Linked DNA regions of Arabidopsis thaliana. The protein of the gene in region 2 interacts with the protein of the main gene of each other region in a pairwise test. Each region holds a gene or a part of one and is shown on either strand. Other genes may lie near its edges.

What was found.
Region 1: the proteins of RAB11c (region 2) and NAPRT2 interact in a two-hybrid assay, tested with the Arabidopsis thaliana proteins (one large-scale study listed by BioGRID).

The regions. Positions count from the first base shown.
Region 1 is NC_003071.7:9,969,958-9,975,998, reverse strand, and holds NAPRT2 (nicotinate phosphoribosyltransferase 2), read right to left. Parts: upstream 4,397-6,041; 5' UTR 4,181-4,396; coding exon 4,032-4,180; intron 3,941-4,031; coding exon 3,796-3,940; intron 3,708-3,795; coding exon 3,588-3,707; intron 3,496-3,587; coding exon 3,361-3,495; intron 3,268-3,360; coding exon 3,206-3,267; intron 3,110-3,205; coding exon 3,034-3,109; intron 2,811-3,033; coding exon 2,709-2,810; intron 2,575-2,708; coding exon 2,458-2,574; intron 2,368-2,457; coding exon 2,309-2,367; intron 2,204-2,308; coding exon 2,029-2,203; intron 1,946-2,028; coding exon 1,811-1,945; intron 1,726-1,810; coding exon 1,627-1,725; intron 1,544-1,626; coding exon 1,435-1,543; intron 1,359-1,434; coding exon 1,246-1,358; coding exon of another isoform or gene 1,207-1,245; exon of another isoform or gene 1,168-1,206; coding exon 1,090-1,167; 3' UTR 792-1,089; downstream 1-791. UniProt on the Arabidopsis thaliana protein: Catalyzes the first step in the biosynthesis of NAD from nicotinic acid, the ATP-dependent synthesis of beta-nicotinate D-ribonucleotide from nicotinate and 5-phospho-D-ribose 1-phosphate.
Region 2 is NC_003070.9:3,117,468-3,121,602, forward strand, and holds RAB11c (RAB GTPase 11C), read right to left. Parts: upstream 2,349-4,135; 5' UTR 2,105-2,348; coding exon 1,940-2,104; intron 1,372-1,939; coding exon 883-1,371; 3' UTR 688-882; downstream 1-687. Other genes in the region: AT1G09625 (uncharacterized protein), read right to left, coding at 1-100; AT1G09640 (Translation elongation factor EF1B, gamma chain), read left to right, coding at 2,695-2,703, 2,921-3,070, 3,159-3,219, 3,320-3,372, 3,492-3,593, 3,704-4,135. UniProt on the Arabidopsis thaliana protein: Intracellular vesicle trafficking and protein transport.

The DNA.
Region 1 (6,041 bases), on a different chromosome or scaffold from region 2:
ATATTGTTAAGGGAAACTTAAAGATATGTTTGGAATGGCCAAGTCAACTAAATTAACTATTTTTTAAGAAGTCAAACTAAACTTTAGGATTTAAATGACATTTGAAAAGTTCATGTTTTTTTCGTCAACAATATGAAAGTTCATGTTTTCTCAACATTTTTTTCTTTAATCAATCTATTAATTTTCACTAAAGAATTGTTGTTTTGAAAATATGAACGGAGCCAAAAAAAAAAAGAGTATTGGTCCCGACCAGTTTTGTGTATACTATGTGTTTCTTTTATATCAACAAATTTAACTTTCATCCAAGAAAACCCACGCCCATATCGAGTGCCCTGCCCTCGAAGCCATGGCTATTTGGAGACCATAAGAATTCAAAGTTACACTTGTATAACTCTGTTGTATAAGACCAAAACTATCACTTGTTTTTAACCTCAATTTGGATGGATTATCGTCTTGTCATTTTTAGTCATCTTGTATTCTTGTTAAGTGATTTTTCGTTAAGTAATGGTTTCCTTATATTCCATATTTTTTTTTACTGTTTGGTAAGTTTCTGTAATAAAGTTTTACTCCTCATTTACTCTGTTGTATTTTTCTATTCTCATATTCCATAATTCATCTTTTTGGAAATGAATTTTGAATATGTGGTTAGTGACTAGGTCCACCCCAAACGTCCTAGTAACGCCTAAAGAAGTTTTTGAAGAAAGGTAATGTTCTTCAAATCTCTGCTAGAAAAAACTCAATTAACTCAACTGCTTACCAATCCGTTTGCAACAGTAAGTTGTCAACCATATGACGAAACTAAACCTGATCCAAAATCGTTGACTTGAGTAAATGTTTTTACAGTCTCCAGTATGTTTACAGCTGTAAATATAAAATCTTATTGAATCAGTTGAAAACAAAGTTCCAGTGAACGCAGAGAGTTTCTTTCCTCAGTAAGAAAATGAAACTTACTACGACAATGAGAGATCATCAAAATGTTGTAAGAAAAAGAAACTAAAAGTGAAAAAAATGCATATTTGTGATGCTGTGGTATATAAATTATATACATTACACCAAACCAAAACCAGATTCTTCTTTTTGGTTGTTCTGTCACTGCAATTCACCAACAGGTGCTTCGTTTAGCCATAAGAAGTGGATGAAATCGTACAGCTTTGCGCTTACACTAACCTGTAAACCATGAGAGAAAAAAACATTTACACAGATTTCTCAGAAACTGAAAAACATGTTTGTCGGATAAAACCATACCTTATAAGGAGTTGGGTTTAATCTCCTCATATGATCAGGTCGCATGTTTTCGAGCTGTTTGATGCAACGGTCTCTTATCTCTTTCAAAGGCGGTAATACTTCTCTTGCTTCATCTTCATTGGTATAGAGAAACAATAATCAGTGAAAAGCATTGTCATTAATAACTCTACGGTACCGGAAAATCTTTACCTGCACTTCCACGCCAATAACATTTGAGGAGCTCTTCGACACGTTGTGGCACTACATATGCTCTTTTGGATTCGTTGAATGGGTGACGACAAAGTAAACGCTCACCAACCTTTGATATCAAGAAAGATATTATGTAAAAATGCAATAAGGTAATGAGATTAAAATCTTTGAGAGAGTTATCTTTCGTTTTACCTTTGGAGGTGGTTCGTTCTCTCCAGTCATTATATCTACCAGAGGGTAACCTTCTTTGCCGTATAATCTGTAACTTCGCTTTTTACACGGTATTGATACCTAAACGAATCAGAATGATAATCAGATTAAGTGCAATGTGACATTGAATGTTCAGAACACCAAGAGAGAGAGAGAGAGTTTTAACCTTTGTAACATCTTCAGAAAGTTTAATCCGAGGCTGATTGTTTATCTCCACAAGTTTGAAAACGCAACCTAAGGCCGCTTGTGAATAGCAAGTGACCAAGTAGGTCCCGATGCCAAAAGCATCCACCTCATGTCCCTATAGAGATGAAAGAAAAAACACTGCTTAATAATAATCAATCTTTCGGGGGCATGGCATTTGAGAGTGGGTTAGGGAGTCACCTGTTTATTTAAAGCGTCAATCGTCTCTTCATTTAGATCATTACTAGCAGTGACGACCATCTTCCCAAAACCAGGCACTTTTAGTTCTCTCTCTACCGTGCAGAAGAAATTTCTGGCCTCTCTAGATAGATAAGCTAAATCACCTGAATCCAGTCTAATACCTAATGCTTTATATCTGCGCAGCACAATAAACATCAATTGCATCTCAAATTCCATATGATCCTGAAGAAGTACAAAGTCAAGTCAGACGATCGGGTATTGATAAGAGATTCTTACACACCCAAAGTCATTGAGTGCTAAAGCAACTGCACAGAAGTTAGGGATTCCACTCTTCATCACCTGTAAAACAGTCAGCAAAACACTAATATAAGAGTTTATTAGAAATCCTAAGGCTCAAATGAGCTATCTACTATGGTGTTTAATGCTCACATCGTATGTATCTACGAGGGCAAGAAAAGTTTTGGGGAATGCCAGTGCATATGAGGTGAAAGCTGCTAGCTCGCTTTGATTTGTCTCAGAGAAAATGCCACTTAGAGATGGTGAATACTGTCATCCACAAAGAAACAAAACATAAGAAAAACTGTGACAAAGATTCAAGCAAAGGGTTGAAGCAGAAATAGAACAATGGTCCTGAGACTAGAAAACAGGAAGAGGAAGAGCAAAATGTGCAATAAACAAACCTGAATCTTTTTTAACCATGTCTGAACATGACTAACAAAATCCTCGCACGTGGTTTTCCCATCAGCACTACGAAGTACTTTGTCAACAATCTCATCAGTACTCTGCAATCCAAAGTTAACTAATTATATCGAAAATGCTTTTGTGATATTGTTATGAGCGAGGATATTAAGTGTGCATCAGAACCATGGCTAATAAAGTTATAGCAACAAAGGCATTGACAAGAATATCTTATTTTCACGAAACTTTGTGTTATCGTCTCTACTAGCTAACTCAAGTATGTAACCTCCACATAAAAATTGAAACTTTTGGCTGAAGTGAACTGACCATGAATGAGCTAACATAAGCATGAGAGTGTGTTCCACGAAGAGGAATCCCAAAAAGTTTTCCAGCTGCTACATTACTGTCATTGGCAAAATACCCAACAACACAAAACACATCATTTCCACATTCCCTTTCACCTACTTCCAGATCAACAAAAACAAAAAGCAAGACTTGCCTTGTTGCATCAAAACCTCCAAGGTAGCAATATTTTGATGCGCTTATTGCACCATCCGGACCCTAAGATTCCAACACTAATAACATCAGACAGAGATGGAAAGAACAACACAAAAGGCAATATATCAAAAAACAAGAGAGAGATTTATAGGAAACCTGAGCCCTTCGAGCACCAAACTCGAGTAGACTCTTAGATTTTCCGGCAACAAAGCGATGCCTAGCTGCGTTAGTAGCTACCAAAGATGCAAAATTGACAAGATTGAGGAATGGAGTTTCCAACAATTGAACAACCTATGGAGATTTTACAACAACTGATGAATCATTCATTCAAGAAAACTATTCCTTAAACAATCTTCACAAATGAAAGAGACAAAGAGACTCACACCAACAGGTCCTTCAACTCTCATGAGAGGTACTTTAGGAAAAACAACTGATCCTTCCGGAATTGCATAAACTTCAACATCAGAACAATCAAGCCCTCTAAGATAATCACAAAAAGCTTCCTAATTTGAATCACAAACATAAAACCCTGATTTAAAAATCCAAACTTTAATCAATAACAATCTAAAAACAAACAGATTTTTGATATACCTCAGATCCAGGCAAACACTCTTGAACGAAATCGATTTCTTCATCAGTCAATTTGAAATTGGCTAAGAACTTAACACACTCTTCTAATCCAGCAAACACAGTGTACTCACCACCAAATGGGTTCTTACGAAAATACAGATCGAAACTGAAAAGGAAACAAAAACAATTTCAAATATACAAAACCATTCAGAATTCAACATCAAAAGCAGAGCATGAGAAGAGATTGTGTGTTGTACACGGATCGTTCGTTGTGTTTGCCAGCTTTCCAATAAGCATAAGCCATGGTGAATTGATAAAGATCATTGAGTAAAGGTGTGACCATTGGATTCGTTGGTCCGTCAATGATCTTCTGACCCAATTCTGAGCCGTTCTCTTTCGGCTCCATTGTCGTCGCTTCCAATTTGTGTGGAACAATTGGCTTCGTATGAGTGAGTGTGTGTGTGATTACGAGAGAGTGAATGGACGAGGAACACTGGTTCTTGGTTGTTTATATTGGAGTGGTCAAAGGAAAAAGAAAAAAACAAGTGTGTTTAAAGAAAGAGACGACGACCACCACACAAAGCAAAACTTGCTTTGAACTTGACCTAGTCTTTCTTTAAGAGCCTTTATTGGTTTCTAATTATTTCTCATTTTAGAGTTTAGACTAAAACGAGGTTTAATTTTCGTGGTTGTTGGCTCTTAGATTATTGGAATTTTCACGTTTAAAAGAATTTTATGTGTTGAAAATTGGCATATGGTAGCCAAATTCAACTAATTATAATAATTACTCAGAAAAATTTACATATTGGTATTGGTAACAAATAACAATATCTTGTATCTCTAATAAATTAATGAAAAGAGTTTAGCTGTTTTAATCTAAAAAACTTAAATTACAGAGGCGGGGAATTTTTTCATTTCAAATACATTTTTTTGGTGTGATTTATTTCACATACATAATTCGGAAAACTTGTATAGCGTAAATCTATTGATTAATAATGGTACACACTTGCTGTGTTATGATATATTTGTGTATTTAATGATTTTAGTTTATTGACTATTTTTAATGTGCAATATTAATGATTTTTAGCTCTTTTGCAATCAAATATGCAGTATGATATTTGATTAGTAGTAAATATTTACATTTCACATATATGTTATAGTATTTGATGAATATTGTACTTATAATATATAATATTTGTTAACATTAAAATAGAAAAGGTTAATGTAGATTAATACATCTTAAAACTTCAGTTTCTTAAAATATATAAATATTGTAAAAATGTTCAGATGCTTATTATGGAAAAACAAAACAAAACAGAATTGCATAACACCAAAAATTTTAAACATGATTATGAAAAAATCAATCCAAATTTAGGTACATTTATTTATCAAAGTTTAATTTTACATCAAACAATAGTATCTAAAATGAATTAAAATGAACTCAAACTTAAGACTAAACATAAGATTGTCCCAACTTGGTTTTTGAAGCCATATCGCATATGGCCTAACCATATTCATGGTCTCTTTTATTTGTCAGTGTCATGATATGAGTATCACAATTTGATAGGGTTCTCTTGAAGTTGTTGATTAAAAATAATCAAAACAAATAATTCTGGAGAGAGCCTCCTACGTGGCAGTCAGTGGTTGGTTGATATATTTAACCAACAAAAAATCCTTGTGTCTTTATTTTTCATTCCGTCGGGAAATTTTCTCACTCTCTCTATTGGTCGTCTCTCTCGACGCTGCTCACCATTCCGAGTTCGTTTCACCAAATCGATGACCCAATTCTATATGTGTTTGTCCCAAATCCAATCTCCCACCAAACCCTTGCTTCGTTCCCTCGAATCAGAGCATTGTCAGATAGGAAGATGACTAAGCTTTGATTGATTTAGTTGTGTAGATGATTTGGTTCTTTAGAAAACGAAGAAGTTATCTGATTGATCTGTTTCGTTTTATTGTTTGTTGCATGGGGATCAGTGTTGTTGATTTGGATCCCATAAGAACCAGCTTTTGCTTGGGTACAGTCATTCTAGTAATCTAGTCTGTTCTCTTGGGTTATTAATATTTTCTTCAGTTTGCATTATTAGCGAGAGGAAGTCTACATATGTGTTTGATTGATTCGTAATGCTGGTTATCGTTAACACCTTTATATGGTTTTAAAATCAGGTGATCGTGTGCCCACTAAGTTGAAGAAAGCCATCATGCAAGCCCGAGAAGACAAGAAGCTGACTCAGTCCCAACTTGCTCAAGTATTTTCTCTTTTCTCT
Region 2 (4,135 bases):
CAAGAGGTTTCGAGCACCACCTATCGAGCAAATTGCATAAAACCGTCACCATTATTATTCCTGCGACGATAATACACCATCCCCAGATTGGGATCTCCATCTTTTTTATGTATTTGTTTTCAGTGACAAAGAAACAAAGTAAATTGTTTGTTGATGATTACAAGTTGCTTAAAAGTTGTTGATATTATAGGAGGCGGGAACTACTCGAAAGACTTGGAAATTTACCATTTTGACAAAAAACTTGCTAGAAAATAACTAAAATAAAAGTAAATCATTCTTCTAATTTTTTTCAATTTATCAACTTTAAAAGTATATTTCCTTTTCTTCATAAATCTCATAAACTAGCAAAAAGATAATGTCATAAACTAATACTATAAAATATATATTTTGTTTTTTTTGTTCCGTCAAATATATATTTTTGGTTTTGCCTGTATTCTTGTTGACTTCCGTTTTTTTTTTCCCCCTTTTTTTTAATTAACTTCCTTTCTTTGCTTTTCCATTTCTTCTTGATTGAAAAATGTATATTGTGTGATTTTGTCTACTTTATTTAAATTATCTTTGAAATCGAAGAATTTCTGCTCTATTAAAAATTCAAACTATAGTCTACGTTGGTATTTGTTTATTTCATTTTATACTCTGCTTATTTTTCTGATACTACATTACAACTACCACTCAAAACTACAATTAATTCCCTAAAAATATTTTTCGTTTCCAAAATTTGTTTTGTGTGAACGATTCCGAACTCCACAATTGATATAAAAAATTATCTTTGAGTTATATTATCAACAACAGAAAAAAGAAAGAAAACAAATACAACGCAAGCCTTGAAATAAAGTCTCATAGATATTTGGCTTTTTTTAAGTGCAACACAAACAAAGCCTTTCAAGACGATGAGCAACAAGGCTTCTTAGCGTTTGATTCAGAAGTAGCAGCCACATCAATTGTTTGGCCTTCCTTGATGTTGGCATTTGCAGTTGTCTGGTCTGAAGATATCGACTTCTTGCTGATGATCCTATAAACCTCCGAGAGAATCGTCTGAAAAGCCTTTTCTACGTTTAATGCCTCGAGAGCCGATGTCTCGATGAAAGATAAGCCTTCTTTCTCTGCATAGCTCTGAGCATCCTCTGTGGCAACTGCTCTGAGATGCTTCAGATCTGTCTTGTTCCCAATCAACATGATCACTATATTGGAATCTGCATGGTCTCTTAGTTCTTTTAACCACCTGCTTACATTCTCAAACGTTGTTGGCTTGGTGACATCATAGACCAAAAGAGCTCCAAGTGCACCTCTGTAATAGGCGCTAGTTATGGCTCTGTATCGTTCTTGCCCAGCCGTGTCCCATATCTGAGCTTTCACAGTCCTTCCTTCCACCTTAGAACAAAGATCATAGGTTTTTTAATAGGTTAATTCAGATCTAATGAGCAGCAGACTCTATGATTAGTGTGTCTGCAACAACAAAATTAGTAACTTCGCAGCTAAATTCCACAAACAACCCAGTAAGAAAACTAGAAACTGTGAAACAACAACCATGATTCATACTTCAAAAGAAAATCATGTTCGAGATCAATTTCAGATGAAGAGATTCTTAGATCTGCCTTAAACAAGGTTTTAGATCTGACATGTGAGGGAGCCTTACACTACCACGTACCAGAGTATCGACAAATTTGGGAACATTATCAATAAAACGCTTAAATTAAGAGATACCAAAGCAAAAATCTCGACCAAATGAAAAAAACAGGCACCACACATGTAAACATCAAAATTCAAAACCAAGCCCAAATGTTCCTACACACAATGACTGCTTCCGAGTATTCATACGAACACAGATACGGATCGAATCGAAAAGCACCGGATGCTGCTTAACTTAGAACTAAACCTAGATCCAGCAACATTTCGATTACACTATATACTATATATATAGAGAGAGATGTGTGCGTACTTGGAGAGTACGAGTAGCGAATTCGACACCAATGGTGGATTTGGATTCTAAGCAGAACTCGTTGCGAGTGAATCTAGAGAGGAGATTAGACTTGCCGACACCGGAGTCTCCGATCAAAACCACTTTAAACAAGTAGTCGTATTCTTCGTCCGGTCTTCTCGCCATTGTTACACTTTTCTCGAGGAGTGCTTTAGATTTGGGATTTTGAAATAGAAAAGGAGAAGATGACAGAAATAAATAAATAATTTAATTTCTCTTTCCCCTTGGATCTTCTCTATTCAACCTTCTCGGCTTGTTATTGCCCAACGACGAAGACCTTTTCTTGTCAAGTTGGGCTTACTAAAAAAGCCTACATATATGTAATTCATTTATACATGCTAATAAAAGGGAAAGTAATTAGAGCTTAACCGGAAAATAAACAAAAATCAGAAATAAAACCAAACAAAACCGAGCCAAACCAGAGGAATACACTCAATACAGATTTTAAAAACCCTACTTCTTCATCATCATCCCTTCAACACTCCTTTATAGCTTTTCTCCGCCTCAACTTTTTGCTTCTTCTCTCTCGATTTGCTCTCACGGAAGATTCTTCAGAATATCTGGTAAGATCCATCGATCGAACAATCTTTTTTTCTCCAGTTAGCTCATATTCATATTTATGATCATGTCAATTGCGAGCTCACTGCTTGATTTTTTTTCCTTGGAACCAGATCCGATATCAGAAGCCCCAAGTTCGCTTGAATTCCGTCTGAGCAATGGCTTTGGTGAGTTCTCTATGATTGTCTACTGTTACGATCGCATCATGTATCGATATAATTGTAGAAACGTTAGATTTGTAAATTTTAGGATCTAAGTTTATAGAACGATTGTTCATACACCAAATTGATTAAAATTATGTTAGTTTGGATATGTAGCTACTCTATTGTTAAGTTATTGATTTGGAATACGTATTATTGTGCTGATGATGAATTACGATTGCAGGTCTTGCACACGTACAAGGGAAACAAAAGTGCTGAGAAGGCACTCATTGCAGCAGAGTACGTTGGTGTGCAGATCGATGTGCCCTCTGACTTTCAGATGGGTGTCACTAACAAAACCCCTGCGTTCCTCAAGATGAACCCTATTGGAAAGGTTTGTCATCACTGGTGTTTGCTAAATTTCTGGACTGAGTATTATTAAGTCTATTTTTCAGCTAACCAAGAGTTATTGATCTTGCTAGGTTCCTGTACTTGAGACTCCCGAGGGTTCAGTATTTGAAAGCAACGCAATTGCCCGTTATGGTAAAGCATTCATAACTTTCTCCTTTAATTGTCTCTCAGTGTCTAGTTTGATTGCTTGTTGTCGTTTGGGTTTAATGGATCTGTTGATATCTCAATACAGTAAGCCGATTGAATGGTGACAACTCTTTGAACGGATCCTCCCTGATCGAATATGTAAGTAGCTGTTTTTTCCCTGGGGGCTACTCTTCTCTAATCCATTGACACCTCTTCTATTGTTTGTCATTCTATTTGTTAGTATTCTCAATGGTTATCTGCATGTTGTTTTTTCGCAGGCACAAATTGAGCAATGGATTGATTTCTCTTCATTGGAGATCTATGCAAGTATCTTGAGGTGGTTCGGCCCAAGAATGGGCTTTATGCCATACAGTGCTCCGGTAAGCTTTTTTGACTTTCATTGGTTGTTTCATTCACTCTTTGTGATGGCAATCTAGGTATTCTTTTCACTATATAAATAGTCTCATCCGTGATTGTTATATAAATGAAGGCTGAAGAAGGTGCGATCTCTACGTTGAAGAGAGCACTTGATGCTCTGAACACACATCTCACGTCTAACACTTACCTTGTCGGACACTCTATTACCCTTGCTGATATCATCACTGTCTGCAACTTGAACTTGGGATTTGCTACTGTCATGACCAAGAAATTTACCTCTGAATTTCCTCATGTTGAGAGGTACTTCTGGACTGTGGTTAACCAACCAAACTTCACTAAAGTGTTGGGTGATGTCAAACAGACTGAAGCTGTCCCTCCTATTGCTTCCAAGAAAGCTGCCCAGCCTGCAAAGCCCAAAGAAGAGCCTAAGAAAAAGGAAGCCCCAGTAGCAGAGGCACCTAAGCTTGCTGAAGAGGAAGAGGCACCAAAGCCCAAAGCCAAGAACCCTCTTGACTTGCTACCACCAAGCCCTATGGTTCTAGAT